Kluyveromyces lactis: one gene and its partner. The protein of the gene in region 1 purifies or fractionates together with the protein of each later gene. This does not show direct contact. Links are inferred from orthologs where the notes say so. Each region holds a gene or a part of one and is shown in the gene's direction. Other genes may lie near its edges.

The links.
Region 2: the proteins of DNA2 (region 1) and LCD1 purify together in Saccharomyces cerevisiae (affinity purification with mass spectrometry; 3 studies listed by BioGRID). This does not show direct contact. The link is inferred for Kluyveromyces lactis from reciprocal best matches to the Saccharomyces cerevisiae genes DNA2 and LCD1.

The regions. Positions count from the first base shown.
Region 1 is NC_006037.1:473,638-485,413, forward strand, and holds DNA2 (bifunctional ATP-dependent DNA helicase/ssDNA endodeoxyribonuclease DNA2), read left to right. Parts: upstream 1-4,699; coding exon 4,700-9,037; downstream 9,038-11,776. Other genes in the region: U4/U6-U5 snRNP complex subunit PRP8, read left to right, coding at 1-2,728; KLLA0_A05302g (uncharacterized protein), read left to right, coding at 3,120-4,241. UniProt on the Saccharomyces cerevisiae protein: Key enzyme involved in DNA replication and DNA repair.
Region 2 is NC_006039.1:144,519-156,186, reverse strand, and holds LCD1 (Lcd1p), read left to right. Parts: upstream 1-4,275; coding exon 4,276-6,270; downstream 6,271-11,668. Other genes in the region: pheromone-regulated protein PRM1, read right to left, coding at 285-2,216; EMG1 (18S rRNA pseudouridine methyltransferase), read right to left, coding at 2,595-3,353; RPL37A (60S ribosomal protein eL37), read right to left, coding at 6,479-6,738, 7,246-7,252; TOS4 (Tos4p), read left to right, coding at 7,877-9,448; transcriptional regulator SWI6, read right to left, coding at 9,655-11,668. UniProt on the Saccharomyces cerevisiae protein: Forms a complex with the serine/threonine kinase MEC1 which activates checkpoint signaling upon genotoxic stresses.

The DNA.
Region 1 (11,776 bases):
AGCCTATGATAAGGGTCACAGGATTAGGCGACAATTCAAAGAGTATTCAGTGGAACGTAGTAATGCTTTCTGGTGGACAAATAATCGTCATGATGGTAAATTATGGAACTTGAATGCCTATCGTACGGATGTCATTCAGGCCTTAGGGGGTATCGAAACAATTCTTGAGCACACATTATTTAAAGGAACTGGCTTTAAATCATGGGAAGGACTTTTCTGGGAGAAAGCCTCTGGTTTTGAAGATTCAATGCAGTTCAAGAAACTTACTCATGCACAAAGAACTGGTTTGAGTCAGATCCCTAATCGTAGGTTTACGTTATGGTGGTCTCCGACGATTAATAGAGCGAACGTCTACGTTGGGTTTTTGGTGCAATTGGATTTAACAGGAATATTCTTGCACGGTAAAATTCCAACATTGAAGATATCTTTAATTCAAATTTTCCGAGCACATCTATGGCAAAAAATCCACGAAAGTGTGGTTTTCGACATCTGTCAAATTCTGGACGGCCAAATGGATATACTACAGATTGAATCTGTTCAAAAAGAATCAATTCATCCACGTAAGTCGTATAAGATGAATTCGTCTGCTGCTGACATCACATTGAACAGTATTTACAAATGGAAGGTTAGCAGACCAACATTGTTGCATCAGACGAAAGATTCTTTCGACGCTACCACAACTGACAAAATGTGGATCGATGTGCAGCTTAGATATGGTGACTATGATTCTCATGATATATCAAGATATGTCCGTGCGAAATTTTTAGATTACACCACAGATAACGTGAGCTTGTACCCGTCTCCTACTGGTATTATGATCGGTATTGACTTGGCCTATAATATTTACGACTCCTATGGAACGTGGTTTGAGGGATTGAAGCCCTTGATACACAACGGTATGAAAACAATAATGAAAGCTAATCCAGCACTTTACGTTTTGAGGGAGCGTATCAGGAAAGGTCTTCAGATATATCAATCTCAAGTTCAAGAGCCATTTTTGAACTCATCCAACTACGCAGAGCTATTTTCCAATGACACAAAATTCTTTATCGATGATACGAATGTTTACCGGGTCACTGTTCATAGAACTTATGAAGGCAATGTGGCTACTAAGCCTATCAACGGATGCGTGTTTACTTTAAATCCGAAAACAGGTGAACTATATTTGAAAATAATTCACACTTCGGTGTGGGCGGGGCAGAGCAGATTGGCTCAATTGGCAAAATGGAAAACCGCAGAAGAAGTAAGTGCATTGGTTAGATCGTTACCCAAAGAAGAACAACCTAAACAAATTATAGTTACTAGAAAAGCTATGATGGACCCTATGGAAGTACACATGTTAGATTTCCCAAACATTTCGATTCGTCCAACTGAGCTCAGATTACCTTTTTCTTCTGTTTTGAACATAGAAAAATTAAATGATGTTGTTTTAAGCGCTACAGAACCGCAGATGGTTTTGTTCAACATTTATGATGACTGGCTAACTCGAGTTTCTGCCTACACTGCTTTCTCTAGATTGATATTGCTATTAAGAGCGCTCAAAACCAATGAAGAAAAAGCCAAAATGATTCTATTAGAGGATCCTACAATCCCAACGAGAGCTAATCATCTATGGCCTTCTTTTACTGATGATCAGTGGATTGAAATTGAGACGAAGATGCGTGATCTAATTCTCTTAGAGTATGGTCAAAAATACAATGTAAACATTGCTTCTTTGACTCAAACTGAAATCAAGAATTTGATTTTAGGACAGAACATTAGAGCTCCATCTGTTCAGAGGCAGAAGATGGCAGAATTGGAGGCTGCAAGAAATCAGAAAACTGATGAGTCGTCGCAGTCTGCCACGGCAGCCATGAAGCTAAAAACAATCAATGCTCAAGGTGAAGAAATTACAGTGGTGTCATCCAGCAATTATGAGTCCCAATCTTTCAGTTCGAAAAATGCTTGGCGGTCAAATGCAATCTCCAATTCATTGCTACATTTGAAGCTTAAGAACATATATGTTACTGCCGAAGATTTTGTAGAAGATAAAGATGTCCTCGTATTCCCACGGAACTTGTTGAAGAAGTTTGTCACAATAGCTGATGTCGATGTCCAAATTGCAGGGTATATGTACGGGTCACCTGTAAAAGATCACCCTAATGTGAAGGAAATTAAGACGATAGCACTTGTCCCTCAACTCGGCAGTTCCGCAACTGTTCGCATATCTCCTCCCCCCTCATCTTCCAAATATCTCAACGACATGGAACTGTTGGGATGGATACATACCCAAAAAGTCGATTCCAAATTCATGTCACCATCTGAAGTGATCACTCATTCCAAAATGTTTTCAGATCATAACGAAAGTGCTGTTGATTTGTGCATAAATCTAATCCCAGGTGCCGTATCAATTACAGGATATACGTTAAGCACTACGGGTTTCAACTGGGGCTTACAATCGAAAGACATAACGGACCCTTCACCAGAAGGGTTTGAAGCTTCATTTAGCGAGACTGCACAGATTTTATTATCTGAACGCATTATGGGCAATTTCTTGGTACCTTCGTCATCGATATGGAATTACGCTTTCATGGGAACTGCTTTTAGCGAAGATCTACCTTACGAATTGAAATTAGACATCCCACTAGAGTTCTATAATGAACTCCATCGTGCTCCTCACTTCATACAATTCTCTGAACTTGCTGGAGATGAGGAATTAGAACCGGATCAAGAAAATCTATTCGCTTAAGCGAAGGAGAATACAGATAATTTCTCTATAATTGTTATATATTTTTTTAAAACCATTTTACATTTATATTAGGCATCTGACCTGCATTTGCCCTTACATCAACCGTATAAGACGGTTTGGAATGGCGTTTTAGGCTCTACGATTTTCATATTATCATAAAAGTGAAGTAGTCATAATGTGCTTGTTCCATCTGACTTCCAAACTTTCACGTGACTTCTCTCTGAGAGGTAATACTGAATATTTAAAAAGTAGACAAGGAACTTCGTCCCTTGAAGATATTGCACATCGACTCTCCGATGGAGACGGTTAAACAAACAGTTTAACCAAAGTGATTATTGGTGCATATTGGAAGAAACTAGTTACTTTCAATAAAGGAAGCCGTGAAATAATAATGGCGCGAACAACTACCAAGAGAAATGTCTCTGCAGCAACACGACCACAAAGAAAGAATCCATTGAGATTTAAACCAGGTAACTCTGGACCGAAATATAACAGGCCCAACGCAGCAGGTCCTAAAAAAACGGATCATATGATAGCTGCAACTTCTACTAACGCGAATCAAACATCTAACTCTGATAAATCTTCTAAATTTCTCCCAATGTCTGGTCATGAAATGAACGCAGCTAAGTACATTATGGAACTAACGAGATTAGGTTACTCGTTTGACAAAGTACAAAAAGGCTCCAAATCAAATTACAACTTTCTATCAAAAATGTATAATGCCCTTAGACTACCCGTTAATATTGACTCTGGTGACATATCGTCAAATGAAGAGAATGATGTGAAAATAGCAGTTAAAGAGAATTTACTTACAAAGCCAACTGCTTTCCAAAATTCTATTGAAAAGCAAGAGACACCAAAGCTATCACAAAATGAAACCGAAGCCACAGAATTTAATCAAAGTACCTCTGCACCAAATGTTTCTAATACTAAAAATAGGTCGTTCGCACTGCCAGAGGAACGGGAACTAACGGCAATCGATTCAATTGCATCAGAAATGAATGAAGAAAAGCTTGGAATGGCATTATATGAGCAGACATCCCGTATACTCATGAAGACGAGGCTAAATTTACTGAAGCTAAAGGCTGCAGCAAACAAAAGAGTACCGAAGTTTAGCAAAGAACTGGAAGCGTCTCTCAAAAAGAAGAAAGATTTACTGATTTCAGATATTGAAAGTTTCTATTCCACAATTGGGTTACGAGATGAGTTCGCTCCAGGAATGAACGATGATTTCATCGAATTGGGAGATTCTTTTATGGATAAAAGCAACCACGACGAACATATAGTCAATGATGAAAACGAACTGCCGAAACGTCTACAAAGTCCGGATCAACATATCAGTATGGCGAACTCTAAAACTTATCAACTCAATCTCAATCAAGCTAGTAACGGCCTAGTAGAACCATCCACAATCATACAGGACAGTGTCATTAAATTAAAGAAGTCTACACCAGATCACTTTACCCCGTATCAATCCCTCAATTTAACGAAAAGAACTCAACCTAATACTTAATACTAACGCGTTCGTACGTAAAATTCTGACGTATCAACTCACCGTTTCCGTTCATTATCATGACGTTTATCAAACAATATAATTTATAAAGGAATGCACGAAAATGCATCAATATTTGTGAGAGGACCAAAGTGTCGGTTCTATACATCCAATGTAAGTCGTACCCTAGCCCTGCGATTGCCTTTTGCCATGCGCAATGTTTTGGTTTGGAATCAGAAAATGTTGATCTCTAAAAAACGTAAATATTAAAACAATACACATAAATATATCGCGAATAAGAAGAACTATTTGAATATCTTCAAACGCGAAGAGAGAAAAGCCCAACTGCCAATCAGTCAACTTTAGGATTAGTGAATTGGTGGTAACCCAAATGGTGGGGATTCAAGAAGCAGAAAAAGAAGCATACTGTTGTACAAACTCAATAGCAATAAGGCTTTGAATTCTTTACTGGAAACACGATGGTTTCTACCCCAAAGAAAAAACGTACCGCCAGTGTTTCTATATCGCCATTTAAGAAGGATACGGATGCTATTTCAGTGGATTATAAAGGGAAACCTAAAAAGAAACCAAGTAAATCTTACCATTTTGCCCCCCTGAACCGGCTTAGCAGTGAAGAACCAATTTTGAAATCGATACCGATCTCAAGAGTACGAAATGTGGAAGCTGGAAGTTCCGTCAAAGATACTGTCAATGCGAAAACTAGTGGCAAAACAAAGCTTGCATCTAAAAGAATTATCAATAGCACAAAGACTAGAAGGGAAAAATCGACTGAAGCTGTGCCAGAAACGAGGTATAGCGATGGTCCGTCGGAAGAAGTAATATGGAGATACTCTCCTAGGAAAATTGATGAGCAATTATGTAACCATTATAATACTGGAAACGACGATAATAACTCCGATGAATTAAGTCAAGATATGCCTCTAGGTCAATCTTCTACTCCATTGATCAACGATAAGTTTAAAGATGTGATTGATTTTGAGAACATGGATCCCAACAGCATTGATAAAGAATGCAGGAAAATTGCACAAGGATCTCCTGTAAAAAGAGGAGAAAAGGATGTCACACCTATGAGAGATATACACGAAATTTTAAACGACTTAGAAGGTCCTAAGTTGCTTCCGCCTTCTTCACCAATTTGCTCGGAACCAGTTGTTATAGACGATGACCCTGTAGAAAATCTTCCGGAGCTGGCATCAGAGAGTATTTCAAATCATAAGCATACTACAACTAATGGCATAGAACGCACGTTCACAATGTATCCTCCTCAGATCAATATAGATGACGACGAGGATGAGGACGATTCGTTAATTGATATTCTCACACAAAGATTCACAAAGCCAGTCATCACAGAATGCAATGAAGAATCAGAGGAATCAGATGCTTCCTTATTAGAACTTCTTGATGAGGAAAAGCCAGCTACACTCCCTCAACTTCAAGTGAGAAAAATTGAACGCATTGAAGTTATGCTTGAATCAGAGGATGAAAATGTGGAAGACTCTGTAAAATCAAATGAAAATCAAACCGATCATCTGCTTAATAACAAAGCCGATGTGGTTGAAAGGTATGTTAACTTGGCTAAATTCCCATTCCCTCAACGCGGCTGTCAAAGACTATGTATTTTTGAAATCAAGGAAATGAAATCACCAGCGCAAATAATTCTCACATGCTTCAATCAGGATGCTGGAAAAGTTAACCTAATTCTCAGAGATCCATGGATTCGTTTCAGATACGAGCAAGGAATGATTATTCACCTAATAGAAGGTGACCACTTTCCTAATAAACGGCTTCTTTCAAATGACAAAGACCCTAAAACAGGCCTCGAAAATGATAATTTATTGATCGTGTATCCGGATGTTCTTCTTTCTGCCACTGCAATTGGGACTGCCATGGATTGCGAAAGGCGTGCCGTTTTATCTTCAAAATTTAATGAACCCGGTGAATACTCGCTTGCAGCTGTCTTAGGTAACATTATTCACGCGTTGGTCCAGGAAGTGTTAAAATTGAAGCTGTTGGAGCCGAATCAGTTTCTCTCAAAAGGCTTAGCTCTCGAAATTCTGGACAAAGTCATAAAACCATTCACTACGGAGGTGAATATGTGTGGAGAATCTGTCGAATCAGTGATTAAAACGATTTCAGATGAGCATTTACCTTTTATCATAGAATTTGTGAACATTTATGTCACTAAGGACAATTCAAGGTCCTGGATTCAAGTAATTGGAACAAAAAATAAACGTAAATTATCTGTTTCTCAGATCGTTGATATTGAAGAGAACATTTGGTCATCAAAGTATGGATTGAAAGGATATATAGATGTCACTGTTGAGACGAATGTTGATTCAGACGGTAAAAAGTTGTTAGCTCCCGTGGAGATAAAGACAGGGAAATGGAAATCTAATGCACACGAGGCACAGGGTCTAATTTATACATTGCTTCTCCAGGATAGATATGACATCCCTGTAAATTTGCACATGATGTTGTATACTAAGCTAAGAGAGTTCTCATTACAACCCAAAATTTTAATATCGCTAAAGCATCTGCTTAACCTCAGAAATAAACTTGCGACATACCTACAAGTAATGAATGAAGAGATGTCTGATTGGGGTGGACCACAACATGAATTACCCGCAATGATACAGAACTCCAAGTGCGATCAATGTTTCATGAAGACATCTTGCATGGTGCTCAACAAGTTAAGTGACAAAGAACAAACGCCAGGATTGCTAAAGCATGAATATACTGATTTAACCAGACATCTTGAAGCACAAGGCTCACAGGTCCTAGAGCTCTTTCGGTCGTTTTACGGCAAGTACGATAGGCTTTTAATGATGGAAGAAACTAGCATAACAAGTGTCACTAAAGATACTTTCCTTATGTCGGGCACAGATCGAGAGGCTCAAACAGGACATTGCATAAGTCAGCTTACCATAAAGAATGTACAGGATCAGGGAAACGGGAGATATCTGTACACTTTCTGCCGCGAAAACGATATTCAAGGGTCATTTGCCACTTCCAATGCAGAACAACAGGAGACCAAGAAACTCAAGAGCGCTCCACCTAGCATGCTCTCGTCAGATATCCATAAAGGAGATTATATAATGATCAGTAACGACACCTCTGGCCAGTTAGCCATTGGAACTGGTCATGTCTCTGAAATCGCTAACGATTTCATTGTGATAAATTGTGCGAGAAACATTCTGGCAAACAATATTCATGGTGATTCTTTTGATAGAAATACGAGACAAGTAGTTCGAAGTGTTTTACTTAAACAAAAAGAGCCATTGAACGAGAAACAAAGCTTGACAAATAGTCACCGATATCGTATTGATAAAAATGAGAGTGCTACAGGACTTACTTTGGCTCGTTACAACCTTCTAAATCTCTTTCTTCCAGAAGTCCTTATTGAAGCTGAATTCTCACCGCAAAAATCTGGAGAAAAATTACAGCTTCCTGTTAAAAGATCTCTTGGGGGTTACAGCAGGGGTCGTAGGCTCATTGTAGAGCTTTCCGAACCGAAATGGACGACTCATGCGGCCAGAATACCAACTCTTAATGACAGCTTTAATGAAAACCAGAAAATGGCGATTGAACGTTCGCTCACCTGCCGTGACTACAACTTGATTTTAGGAATGCCTGGAACTGGTAAGACATCAGTTATTTGTGAATTAGTTTCAATATTGGTAAATCAGGGAAAATCTGTCATGGTGACAAGCTACACCAATTCAGCTGTCGATAATATTATAATGAAGCTAACTTCGCGTATCCCTCGCTCTAAGATGGTACGTTTGGGATCTGGACGTCGAGTCCATGATTTGGTCAAACCATATTGCATAACAGAGATGTTAGATGGTGATAACGAGAACTTGTCGGAAATAATCGATGCAGCACAAGTGGTCGGTGTAACGTGTCTCGGTATTAATGATCCGTGGTTACAAATGCGAAATGGTGATTTTGATTATGTTATATTAGATGAAGCCAGTCAAGTTTCGCTACCTGTCGCCATTGGTCCATTAAGGTTCGGATATAAGTTCATATTAGTCGGAGACCATTATCAATTACCGCCATTAGTGAAGAACTCATTTGCACGTGACAATGGTCTACAAGAATCGTTATTCGAAAAATTGTGTCATTCGCATCCTCAAAGCGTTGTTGAACTACAATTACAATACCGTATGAATGCAGAGATCATGTCTCTTTCCAACGTGTTGATATACGGAGGAAAGTTACAATGTGGTACTGACGAAATCCGCAGACAAGTCTTACAATTCCCAAACAACTATAAATGCTCACAGGACACATGGCTGCAGAAGGCTATCAATCCCGAACAACCTGTGGTGATATTGGATCATGATGGCTTCCAGTCAACAAGTAACCAGCAGTTCGTTGAACAGAATGATCATGGCCAGCTAAGCAACGTTGGCGAAGCCAACGTCGTCAATGAAGTGGTGCGAGAGTTACTTGCACATGGTATCGAGGTGGACCAAATTGGTGTGATGTCTATGTACAAGGCGCAGATGTCGTTATTGAAGACGACATTGGAAGATCTAGACATTGATGTGTTAACCGCAGATCAATTCCAAGGAAGAGATAAAGACTGTATAATAATATCCATGGTGAGAAGTAATCCGGACCAGGCCAGCGGTGTGCTACTACGAGATTTAAGAAGAATTAACGTGGCTGTGAGCAGGGCGAAGAAGAAGCTGATCATCATTTGTTCCTGGAAATGCATATCTAAGATTCATCCACTGAAACCCTTCGTAGATCACGTGGCTAGAAACAATTGGATAACAAAGATGTGATCAACTTGAATTCTTCCCCTACGAAAGATCTAGCCATTTGATCCATATGTCCAGGTGACTGCTTTGTTCTAGATGACCATCACATACAGATATTATATACATATATATATATATATATATATATATATATACGTATCCATTGGTACAGGTTATTCTGCGTCATGTCTTTCATTCCCCCAACATATTTAATTCGTTTTTATTTTTGGCAAACCTGCATCATCGTAGTGCCATGCAGCTGGCGTAGAAACGATACGGACAAAAGAGAGAAAAAAAGTGATCAATCAGAGACAGAGAATGCATTAAACCGGTACTTAGACAAGCTGTTTAACCAACAGATATCATATAACTCTCATCTGGAAGAAAAGAAGACATGAAAACGTGGAGTTAACCCACTAGCAGCCGCTCATCTCAGTTCAGGGCTTATTGGTATACAAATTCCTGCAAGGGATTAAGAGTGAAAGATAAGACACAAAGATACAACGTAGAGATGGCTTTTTGTGCAGTATTAGTCCGTATTTGGTTGACTCTTCCGCCAAGATAATCACGTAGTCAGAAGATAAATGAGGGAAAATAACCGACGTCCAAGCAGGTAAATACGGACAGGTACATGCTACTTTTTACAGGTTGATCATCCAGTACTAGAAATGGAAATACGAGACACGTAGATATTCCTTAAAATATGTCGCAGGCACAGACGCGGCTAAAGGCTCCAAATTCTACAGATCACCTGGGAAACCCGGCACATTGTGGAGATCGCTTTTCCCCAACGTATTCTGTAAAGCGCAATTCCCTCAACCAAAGGAAAATCAAAAAGGAAAATGAGAATAAAAAAAACAACAACAACAAAGATCACCTGATTAACCTCAAATAGAACTTCCCGAAGCACAAGTGCCTAGATTTTCAAACATGTACGTGTTTCTCTTACGGCACACGAAACCAATCATTCCATGTCCTTCGATGAGACTCCATTAGGTTCCATATTGCTCTTTTTTTGAGGCAATTGGAAAACCGCGTTCATTAAAGAATATCATGGAACAGGAGAGAATATCATCCATCACCGTTCCGCGGATAGGCCGCGGAAAGAGAATAAGCTTTTGTCCCTAATGTCTACAATGTATCAATTCCGTTTTCTAGCAACTATTGCTTTCCGCCTACCAGTAACAAATTCCTATCTACTATTTTTTATTGCCGCGCCCATTTCCCGTTGGATACAGTCCAGCGCTGCCGGAAGTGTTTCCAGTTAACACGCTCGTCAGTCTACTTTCCACTATGCGACGAATATCAATAAATGTTGTCTACTCCGCATAATATACGGAGTGACTTGTCTTATTATAGCCGCAGACTGACAGCATTATCGTCAGAAAGAATCAAAAAGCGACGCTAGGAACGAAAGCAGCTCAGGAACCAAAAAAAAATATTTGACAGTGGGACCCATGGCCAAATTATGTACTATTAGTTAATCATTTCTGGAAGACTCTGGATTAACATAAAATCTCATCTCTAGTAGAACCAACAATTTAACCTTAACCCCTTCTCTCTGGTAAGCGCTGAACGCATGGCCATCAGGAGATTGTCTGATATTTTTAGGCAGGGCCCTTTCTTTTTCAAGCACAGAGATGGAACTGCCCCTCGGAGTTATTTTTTTTTTTTTTTTGATATTTTCTCTTTGTTATCAAAGGGTAACGTTTCCTTGATACTGTAATAATACCTTAATTTGGGTGCGTTTTACGTATGGCAATATGATAGCCGCGTAATTTCCTAGACATGCTAGACTAAACTAGATAGAGTGGGCATCCGGAGTTAAGTTTACAACGGATTCCTCTCCCACCTACCCTGTGACTCTAACCCTTTAGAAGAATGGTTTCAAGTTCAACACTATACAACTAGCTATTCCATTCCTTTTTTCTGGGATACCAGCAACAAAGAACTAAACAGAGTATTAGTCTTCTGCTGCCATTAAAGTGATCTAAATCTAAGATTGTTATTAGCCCATTATTATATAATCTCGCCATTAGGTAGCTATTCCATTTTTTTTTGATATATATAACTCGCAAGGATGAGCCTTTTCTAATCATTACCATTCTCAATATTGGTTCTTGGGAATTGTAAAAGATATAATAAGGACCAAGAAAACAACACCGAATATCAGACATTTGTTTCTCTCATACATTATTAGCATTACTGCAAGAAAACAACACAACTGGGACATTCCTTGCCGTTTTCAATTTGTCTGTGTTTTGGTTTTAATTTTTTTTTAATTTTTTTCGGTTATCTCATTATTTGGTTATAGCCATTAAAGAAAAGCAGACAAGACAAGAATTTCATTCACCGCTTGCGCGCATTTTTTTAGGGTTTCTTGATTTTCGAATAGTCAATTAAAGGCCCACTACAAAAAAAAAAACAGAGAAGTATAGCATAACAGATTCATTCTCATAAAAGGTAAGACACGCGGCTAGAATACGTTTTGATACATTAACAACCATCGAGATTTTTTTGTGTTTTTTGTGCTCTGATTTGTTTTACTTTTTTTCTTTCTTTCTCGTGCTTCCCTTTCGTATATTATAATTGCAATACAAAAGGTATTGTTATAATTATTATCTCAAGAGAATTTATCCTATATTAGGGTACTTTCATCACGGAAGCAAAGAAAAGGCAAGAATCAGATTTTAGTATATATACGTAAGTGGAAACACTGGCGTATTTTGGGTTTTGATTTATTTCCCATTCCCGCTTTCGATT
Region 2 (11,668 bases), on another chromosome or scaffold:
AGCCGGATGATTGACACTGCAGATTGGCCTTAATAAATGAGCAATAGGCAGTTTGCTGTGAGAGAGCTCTTCAAACGTCGGAAATTCTATTGACAATGCAGGAGGAGTAGCAATTCTTTCACAGCCACTTTTTTTTGGTCCTGACGTAATGTTGCCCCAATTCTGATCTATTTCTATTTTATATTTTCTTTTCTAGGCGACTGAGGAGAGAATCTGCAGTTTGTTTGGTAGTATGCCCATTATATTCTGTACATGCTAAATAGAGGGTAGGACCCTGGACGGTATTATGGACGGTTTTGATTATTATGTTTTGACTTGTGTTTCTGTGCCGCCAGGATAATACCGGCAACCGGAATTTGAAAAAAGTAAAGTGCTAGAAAAACAGACGACACGATGAGTTCTATGACGACAGTATTCTTATACTGTGATAAAATCTTGTTCGCTGCAGAGATGAGATTATCCTTGAGCTGGGTTGCAATTGATGTCGAATTGGGTAACTCTGCAGTGCTGGAAGTAGTAGAGTTTGAATCTGTGAGGTTTTGCTGAAGCTGTTGGTATAATTCAGAACCGTTGACTCGGGGGAGGTTCACTTGAGCTGTATTATGGACCCATGTTAGAGCTGTAGATATGGCTTCCAGTTTGTTTCCGATGACACATTGCATTACCGTATCCATGGGTTTGTACAAAATTGTCCCATTGAACGCTTTGCTAATTGCGTTGTCGATGTCTTCAATTAAATCTGTCACTGTACCGTTTACTGTGTCTGTCGTATTTTGGATCCATCCAAAAACTTGCCTATTAATTTGAGTTTCCGTGTCGTTAATGTAGAGGTTGGCAGATTTAGACCAGTCTGTCATTCCCTGTTGTACTGTATCATTCATGGCTGTGGACATCGATGTCATCATTTTTTCTGTCTCCTTCCCGTTTATCTTGTTGGAAATGATCGCAATGATGGCAAATTGTACGCAACACATGAGAATACCGCATAACCCAAGTGCTAATAACGTTAGCGAAGTAGAAGATGTCAAATACGTTACCAACCATTGGATATTTCGTTGTGTTTCTAACTTCGAACTTATACGTCTGCTGAGCCATCTTCCAAATCCAGATTGATATCTATTGAAGACCAGATGATACGTTTCTAATATATCGACGTTCTGTGGGACTTTTTCGTCAGCCATGTCATCAAATGGGTTTTTAAGCATGATAGTCTGATGCCTGTATTGATCTCTGAATCTTTTAAGGCGTATCCATTGCCTCCACTCTGCCCAGGCGTTATACACAATCAAACTTAGAGCAGCAAGAATAAAAACTATTAGTATTGTCATGGTGGAAGCATTAAACACTTTTCTTATGGTATCAAAGACTTCATTTATTTCTGACTTGTTATCTGAACATATTTTTACACCACTAGTATCAATTGCTGGTACTTCAAGGTACTGCGGGTCTCCAACTAGCTTACTGGCGTTAATTGATTTAATTTCATTCCTGATGATATCAAATGGAACGGCAATTGCTTGTTTAGTTTTATTCTTAACAGTATCAAAATCAGGTGTATTAGCAGACAGCTTCACCAGCTTATCATCTATAGAACTTGGAATAGAAAGTGTTCTCAGCCCATTTATTGTTAAATTAACTTTCTTTACTTGATCATTAATGTCTGATTCATCATCGTTCCCTTTAAAGAAATTCTGAATATCATTGACAGCCGAAAGAACTTTATTAACTACTTTGGTCAATCCGCTCAATCCATCATCAATCTCATCTGCGACGCTACTTACTGTTCCATTTACTAAATCAATGACAGATTCTGTAGCATTCGTTGCAACATCAACCGATCCATCAATTGCACTGACGATTAAGCATACCCATGTCCCCAACCAAAGATCTATCATAAAATCTATGACATTTTCAGAAACAGATACCAACAGTGAAATACTTTTTAGCGATAATGCTACACTTTGTTCCATAGATTTTTGAATTAGAAAGTTTCCCATAAGACCCATATAATGTGGGGAAGAATTGACATATTTGGAATAATAATAATCGATGTTACGGCAATTCTCCATGGTATAATCCATTATATTTTCGAACCCGTTTGATAGCATTTTTATGAACAATAGTATCTTAACCATCATGACTAGTATGATTATCGTATATTTATTACACCATATCTGTGACAGACGCTCATTAAGTTTTAAGTAAATATGTCCCATTTCGATGGTACATCATTGTTTTCTTTTGAGTTACTGAGACTATCATTCTAATTATGTTATCCGCAGTTCACTACTAGCAGGTGGCACCTGTAAGTATTGTTCCTTTTTATATGTGCTTTGTTCTAAGCTTTTTATTTTACATGAAACATGTTTGAGACATCTTAAAAGTTAAAACGTCTGAGATGCCACTTCTAACCGTAAACAGGCAGATAAGAAAGAGAGCAGAGAAAAATTTCTATCGTGTTTCACCATAAACTAGCTCCAATGCTACCCTTGATGTACAAAATATGGCGACTTTTGTTATCGAACTCTGCATTTGATAATATTACTTAATTTTATCGAGATATAATACTGATTTGAACAATCGAGTTTCCATGTTTACATAATGTTCCACACATCTTCACAACCATGACAGAACTTGGAGCATGCAACCGAAGCAGATAATGGATAGTTGGATAGACCAATCTTTTCATCCACAAATTCATCTGCAAAATTATCTTTACCCCTGGCCATGGCACCAACAAACACACATATACTTTCATCATCATCCAACTTTTCCACGTAGTCTTGCACTCTTATGACAGGTGCATCGAAGGACAAGGTGATTTTACGACATTTGGTTGGTAGGTGGTCGGTAATTGGATTCTTAATGACCTTCAACAATTTTTCTTCAGAGTTAACTGATCTGATGGATAGTTTATGCAATAATTGGACCATTAAACCTGAGAAACGTTTGAAAGTTCTTGGAATTCGTACAGTAGGGTTTAACTCGATAAGAACGCCTCGACTGGTCTGAATATAAACTTGAAGTTTACCAGCCTTATTTACAGGAGAATCTAATAGGGTTAGAAGACATTGATGAGTAATGTCGGGTCTAGCTTCGCTTATATCTCTTCCCATTTTCTTCAACAAACCTTGATGATCATCACAATTCAACAAGACGTATTTATCCCCACCAGGACCGTTGGATGATATTTTATGTGTCTCTAAAGAAGCCTGGGATAGCACCACAATAAGTCTCTTGGTAACTTTGTCCTTCGATGTTAGCACTGGCGGAGCTTGAGGGACCAATGATGCCGGCAAGACTTTCTTCTCACCATTTTTCATGGCATCTCTGACCTTAGAATCTTCAACCATATTATCTTGATATTATTTCTTTTGTACTTATTATATTACTAAAATGTACCGTAATAAAGCTTATCCTCAGTCGATAACAAACCACAGGAGCTGGTACAACGATGCGGCAAGTAGTTAAAGTATGGTCTCTTCCAGTTATTCTGTAACTATTCCATTCGATGAGCATGAAGTGGTTAATAGAAAAAAAAAAATTCAAACAGTAAAAAGAAATTCCGTGCACCGCATGTCATAGCTTCCAAATGACAAGAGGGAAGGGATTTCAAGGCATGAAATCGCCATTCGATACATGCGTTCGTTGTAACATGGTAGAATGTAAATCAATTGCATCTCTGAGAGTGTGGGTCTTGTCCCATCTTTCGATTGAGTATTTTCAGTAAATTTATGACTAAACATTGAAATGTCATATTTACTGGGCAAAGAGAATACTCTATGTAGCGTCAATATAAATGATCTTTCTAGACCATTCATTTAAATGATTAACAATTTTAACCATAGCAATATCCTTCTGAAAGAAACTTTTCTTATTATGATTGTGAATATGACATTGATTGTTTCAATATGTTAATATAATCTTTTTTATATTTTACAACTCTATGCCAGCATTAAGTCAAATATCATTAATAAATATTGTAATACATTCAAAGAGTGTACAGAAAGAGATATAGAAGTTACGGGACTTTAATTCAGCGAGTATAAGGGCATTATAGCGACATGTTATCAGCGTTAATGGGGAATGAAGGTCAACAACAGTGAAACCAAGAAACTATGTATTTTTTTTCTCTTTCAGCTAATGCAGATCATCTGCATATTTGTTTACACCTTAAGACCACAGAATTTGATTTAACCTTTAACTGTTAATTCATGTCAAGAACATTACCATGAACGCGTCAAACAAAAACAAGAAAAACCAACCTAGGCCAATATGGCAGATTTATGGGATGATAATGACGATGACGATGATATCCTAGAACTAGTGAATAGACCTCCGATGAGCCAGATGGCGGTACCTATTAAACCGCCAGAATCACAAGCTGAACAGTTAATGAAAGCGAAGGGAGAAGTGGGAGTCTTGAGGCAGAAGCTGAGTATGCTCGAAAAGACTCTAAGGGAACATGATGATAATCAGAAAAAGCTGGAATCAAGTCTGAAAAGTTCTCATGAAGAGGAAGTTACGAAGCTTAAAATCGAATTGGAACGACTTGAAGATGAACGAAAGTTCATGTTACTGGAACAGAAACATTTATTTACCCCCAGAAATAGCAGCAAGTCTGAAACTACCCACGAAACTGAAACTGCTGAACCATCACCAATTGAAAATAAAAGAAGAAGGATGGAACCCGTTAAAGAATACGTTACATTGACTCAGAATTTCAAAGTAGACGATGGTTCCCTTTTCTATGATCATTTGCTGAATTTTAAACTACTTGGTTCTGAGCACACAGTTCTAGAAATGCTCGATCACATTTGTACTTATAAGACAGATCTTATTTTGAGCCCGGAACACAAAATAATTAAGGCCAGGTTGCCTCTTGGCCCTCCTATTAGATCGTTGATATTTAAATGGAAATCCATTTACACCCTCGATCAACTAGTTGATAAAACACTAGAGATCTTGGCTATTGCTATAAAATCAGTAAGTGTACTTCCGGAAAATAAACTTGCCATCCCTTTCCTCATATCTTTGATGCATTGTACAATCAATTTTAGACATAGTGCGACCAGTGTTAGTTCACTGAAGGATGTATTTCAATTCATTACAGATTTTATCATCTCTGATCCTAAATTTTTGAAACAGCCATTGCATGAGAGTCCTTTGGATTTAGACGTTTCTCCAGACGTGTTTCAATATTCAATGCTTGATCAATTATGCATGACTTATTCGTTCGATGTCCTAGAGACATGTATTGTAATATTGCTAAACTGTAATACGCGGGCACAGGAAATAGTATTGAATGACGCTACTATTGCAGAGAACCTCATAAAATGTTGCAATTTTACTTTATCAATTTCATATAAGCCAATAATGCCAATCATCGTCAACGTAACGGAAATATTACTCGGTATAGTTGAATTGGATGGTGCTGAAAACGTTTGGAAAGGCAAATGGGCAGTATTGTTCTCAAAATTAATTCAAAATTGGGAGAGATCACTTACTTTTGACTCTGTGTCACTCAACTTTGCGGGTTTAAATAGGTGCTGTGGCGATAACTCCAATCATTCAATGATAGATAATATTATAAGTCTCGAAGAAGTTCGATATTTACCCATGATTATAGAGAACGAGTTTGAACCTCTCACTTTCACAGCATTAGATAACCTAGAGTATTGGTCAATTCAGATACAAATTAATATTACATTAATAATGCATAAACTGCTTCATCGATACCGATCCACTCTATGTTCGTTGGAATTTCTACAAAAGACTTTTTCTCTTTTCAGTAGTCATCAAGAGTTATTACTTACTGTGTTCTTGGATAGGGACCATATCAGTGATATTAAGAGACAGGAATTGTTATCAGTTTTATTAAAATTGATATACTTCTGTTGGGTGTCGATAAGTGACGAGTATAAACGTGCCTTAAGGCTAGACGAACTGACAATCTGTCTATGGCGTATTGTATATGGGTGGCCTGAGTCGACAGATGAATTATCCACAGAATGGGCTGCCCTAATAAATCCATTGAAAGCATTGGCGTTAGAGGAAGAGAAGAAATACTTTGATGACGCTTATGATGAAGATAATTTACCAGCATTCATGCACTCCGAGGAATTGGACATAAAAAGGGAATCTGCAGTTTCAAAATTTAATAACAACAGCTCATGGCCATTGAGAGACATGGCTAAATATATTCTCGAAAGCATAACCACTATGGATGAAGCGGATTCATTGTATGTAGCCATGGTTAGTGAAACTTGAGAAAGACGGAAGCGAAGAGAGCTCAGTTACTGGCGTTCATGTGCATCGACTTACACTGATCAAAGTGATAAATATTAGCATATTCCAATTATTTCATAGGAATGAACTCTGAAAAGATTATATTGATGGTTTATTTAGAAGTACAATGCTTATACAAAGTAATGAGATAATAAAAAATATGTCTTCAACAACATGATAATCTCAAAGTTTAAGCGGATTGTGCCTTAGCTTCACCAGATTGGAAACCGTTCTTGAATCTTCTAGAAACGTGTTTCAAGTATCTCATTCTACCGGTACCAGTGGTTCTTCTTCTCTTAGCCTTGGCAGCCCAGTTGTGAGATCTCATCTTAGCAGCTGGGTAACCACAAGAAGAACAGGTGTGCTTTTGAATGTGGTAACTACTACGGCCACATCTCTTACATAGAGTGTGAGACTTGTTGTGGCGCTTACCGAAAGATGGAGTACCCTCTGTTTAAAAAATTTGACAATGCAAAAAAATCGTTAGTAAAACTGTTTCCTTAGAGTAAATCGAACTCTCCACATGAGCTAGGTAGGTGAAGTGTAATATGATGGTCATTATTACTTAGTTGAATCTGTCAAAAAATTTCATAGAAGGTAACATAAAACCTAACCTGATATTTCCGAAGAAATCCTTCCAATGAGTCGACCGTTGTTCTCAAATCTTTTTCATTCTTGTTCTCTCCCGTTTAATAAGTAGGTGTAAATTGAACATTATAATTCGCTAACGTACTCGCCGATGTCGTAACGTTTTCTGGCCTTTTTCAAAATATACCTCATCAAACGTTATATTCCATTAGAGTTCGACTGTCCATTCCGTTAATTTGGTGCTGCCTCACGGGTGGTTCAATTATTCCTTGTGTTATTGTTTTCTCCATTTTACTCGTTCTTTATGCATATCACACTCCAAAGCTCTTAATAAGGATGTTCCAAAATGTATAGTATTCTATCACATACTACCCATGTTTGATTATGTCTGGTTCTGTCTTATCTTGAATCTAAACCCAACACTATAATGATAGCACTATTCTATCATATTGACCTTAGTTGGATATAGAACAATGTATATTATCTCTAAAAGTTTGGTTGAAACAACTTTCCTTGGAAAATTTCGATATCGAAAAGCAGGGAAAAGAAAATTTCAAATACGGAGAGCCGTCTATTTACCAAAAAGGGAAATACATTTTCAACTCACCAGTTTTAGTTTATCTGTATAGAATATTCTTGGATGTACGGATTTAATAAATGAGCAGTCCTGATAGTTGGGGAATAACGCGAAAAGTGGCCACTACGAAATAGACAAAATACAAGGAAACGACGCGACGCATATTTTGTAGTTTGAAGTTAGTATGAAGTTCATATTCAGTTGAGAAATGAAGAGACTTTAGGTTGTAGTAAGTTCTTTTACGTTTATTAACATCTATCTAAGACAAAACGATTCTGTAGTATTGTTTTTGGAGTGTCCTGTCATAGAAAGGCAACAAAGATACTGCTACTTGGAAAATCTAATATCAGATTCTAAAGGGTTAAAACTGAAGCACCTGAACGTTAACAGAGATTAAACCAAAGAAAGAAAAGACACGAGGTCATGAACTCGCAGTTTCCTCCTTCATCTCCTATTGCGAGCTCACATCAATATGATTTAGAAAATCCATTTTATCACCCAGAGAAAGATACTGAATCCGTGGTCTCATCTGCCAGTTTGAAGTTGTTCAAGGACAAAGACGACTTAAAGCAAGGTAATGTCAAAAATTATCCAACTCCACATCCCTCTTCTACTGTTGGTCGTTCCTCTTCCCCAATGAGAGATCAAGCAGGTGAGATATTATCATCTGATTACGAAATGGAAAAACATCTGGAGACCGAATTGAAGAAAGTTAGCCTAATCGATATTTCGCTAGATCCGAGAGATAACTCACGATTGGCAATTGGGCGCAAAAAATCTGTATGTGATATACATCTTCCTCGCGGAAAAAATATCTCCAGACAACATGCTTTCATTTCTTATATCTCACCTTCCAACCAATTAAAACTCGAATGCAATGGTACAAATGGTCTCGTTATTTCCTTCCCGAAGAAGCTGTCACATGTATTGGTTAAAAGATCAAAAGCTTCAGATGTTTACGAGCTAGTAACACAGGACCAATTACATGATAACGAACAAATCATTTCTCCAGAGGAAAAGCAGTTGTTGAAATCAACTTATTTGACATCATTTGTACTATTGAAAGGTGAAACAGTCATTATGCCATATATCAAGGACACAATATTCGACTTCAGACAATGTGAGGCTCGTGTTAGATTACAAGATGTTACAACTGATGAAGAAGATGCCAAAAATGATACGGAAACTGAAGATGAACTGACAAAAGTCGACTTACACAGTGATGAATTCCATGACGAAGACTTCTCGTTGGAAGAACAGGAATCTGTTGCTAATATGATACCAATGAGCACAGTCGAGTGTTCGCCACCGACACCTCAGTGCATGAAACCATCGGTTTTACCAGTGGCTATAAGACATACTTCTGATACTGAAAGACCTAATGTGGAACGTACCAAGTGCAAGCTGACCCCATATAGCTCTTTCACAATAAAGACTCCAAATGCTCCGAAGAAATTAGAAGCAAGTACTCCAGTTAAGGACATGACTACACCTAGCAAGGTTAAGGTGGATGAGAACGCCGATGAAGTCCGTCGTCGTAAGTTAAACACTCCCTCGCCAAAGAAGAAATCCAAAAAGAAATCAAGAAAGCAAATTGACAGTGATGAAGCTTCAAAAGAACAAACTCTTTCCTCTTTGACTACAAGGGGGGTAGATTACAAAGAATTACAGCATGTATTGTCCAATCACTTAGCATTCTCTAACATTCAACAAGTGCCACTCTTTCAATTGCAGGATGTTAACTCTGTTGTCTCGAAGTTAAGCCGCACAGAACTGCGCGCTATTTTGAATGACGAACAATGTATCGGAGTAATTTACCGTACAGGAAAAGATGCCGCAGGAAAGCCACTGGATGAAGAATACTACTATGATGCAGAAAATGATCCTGACGATGACAGAAGACAGCTGGTAGCATCACTCAAGGGTGGCAGATCTGGTTTAAGATCATGCAGGAGAGTGCATAAACAGTATTTCTGGAAGAAACCAACTAAATAATCTAAAAATTCTGCTCGACTTGCTTTTTAACACAAGGCGTCGAAGAAACAAATATATACATAGGCAATAAATGTAATAGAAAAAAAAGGTTCATCGTATTTTATAGGTAAAAGTCCACTAAAATTACAACAGCTTGCGTAAACTGTTTAGTTAGAAATAAAAGTACAACAAGAGTTATTTCCAAATAGGTTACCATCAATTGGTATTTATTCGGCGGCACTCTCTAAAAAGTTGTTCACCTCGTCTGTATCTATATCTTCAGGATCTTCATTAGATATAGCTTGCAAAAGACCGTCAAGCATTGAGTCAACCTTCTCTTCATCTATCTTCAAGCAGAGAGACAAGACTTTTCTGAATTTAGATTCTAAATTCTTCTGCTTGTCTTTGATAGTCTGTAAAGTTGAGTCTAAATGCAATTCGTTTCTATTGTACGCTTTGATTCTTGCTTTAAGAATTTTGGGATGTGGGATTTCTGCTCTGGAAGGGAAGTTATCGTATATTTCATGAACAAGTTGTGATAAATTGCAATGTTTGAGGAATAGTTCAAAATCATTGTTATATTCGTCTTTGATCTTTTCCTCAAACTTTGTGTAAACGTAAGAGATTCTGAAAGGCTCATCAGCATCGAATGCAATATCGGCTGAGTTCAGACCTTCTTCTTGGACATCATCCAGTGATAGTCCTAATTCTCTAGAAGCAAGTTGGAAATTTTGATCTTCTTCAGCGATAGTGTTTTCCACATTGTTCAGTCTGTCGGACAACAGATTATATTCATCTTGGATTTGCTTTGCCTTAGCCAATCTATCCCGTGCATTAGCCAACGCTTCTCTCTTTATGTTGAGTGTATCGAGGAGCTCCTTCATCTTCCCATTATGTTGTTTAATTTCATCACCATAATCATTCGATATTTTTGAGAGGAGTGATTTTATATTTGTGATTAACGATGTAGACTCAGCCATCGGATCCAACGAAGTTTCATGAGTTTTGGTAGGTGTGGCCATAAGATTTTTTGTATTCGATTGAAAACGGGGTTGAGTACCTGCACCAAAATCCACAGGGCACAATCCGGAATTGTTTGCAATATTAGGATCAGCACCATAATCCAACAATGCTTCGACAATGGCAACGTTTCCAAGCCTGGCGGCAATATTTAAACAGGTATCACCATTAGAATCTCTAGCATTGAGTAAATGAGTGATAACCCATTGAAGATCGATATCTTCTAGTAGCACGCAATGCGATTCTTTAGTTCTGCTTTGCTTTTTAACTATCCAACCCATCAAAATATCGAGGTAATACTTAGCCGCTGCATTACAACCAGGCATACCAGAAGTAATCACAATATGATGAAGAACGGTTCTATCCATGTCATCAACCATTACGATACAAGGGTACAAGTAGTCCAACAGTATCTCGAATGTACCAGAATCGTAATTGTTTACCGACTTCACAGATTTTACAAGCACTGATTCACCGGACTTATCGCCGATTCTTCTATCACTGCCAAAGACAATGAGCTGTTTGAGAAGGTCTAGATTGGCTATGGAACACAGCCAATGCAAGGAAGTGTTTCCATGTTCATCAATTGGGATGTTAAAATTTAGTGGAACGTTTGGGAATTGTGTGTCCAGTTCTTGTACCTGCTGGGTTAAGCTGACCGATGGGTAACCTTCTGCAACGTTCAAATTCGTAGTTTCGGGGAAAAGAATACGCTGAAGTAAGGTCTCTAACTTCGCACGTTCATCATTTGAGTAATTACTAACTGGAGGCAGAGTTTTCTGTAACGTAGAGACCGTAGGTAAATCATGTTGGAAAACCGGGATCTTTGAAACAGATTTGGTTTGATGCCTCTTCGTAGGAGAATCGGGAAGATCTAGAAGCTCATGTTTAACAGTGTCTGGCTCACCACCACTGATTCTAGAAGTGGTTCCATTTGTAATTGTTGCAGGCCTGAAATTACTTCCTTCGGCAGTAACATTCCCATCATTTTTATTCGAGCTGTTGTTTCCGTTATTTGTATTTTCAGTACCACCATTCTCCATTGTGTGGTTGTCCGTCTTTCTACCATTATTCTCAGGAGTCTTCTGACCATCGTCTTCAACGCCATTGTGATTAGCTTCATTATCATCGTCATGGTCCGTCAAATTTTCCGAACCAGAATCATCTTTAATTTGCAGCAAATCCCATAACTCATGTGCTTTTTGTAAAGTGATCCATCGG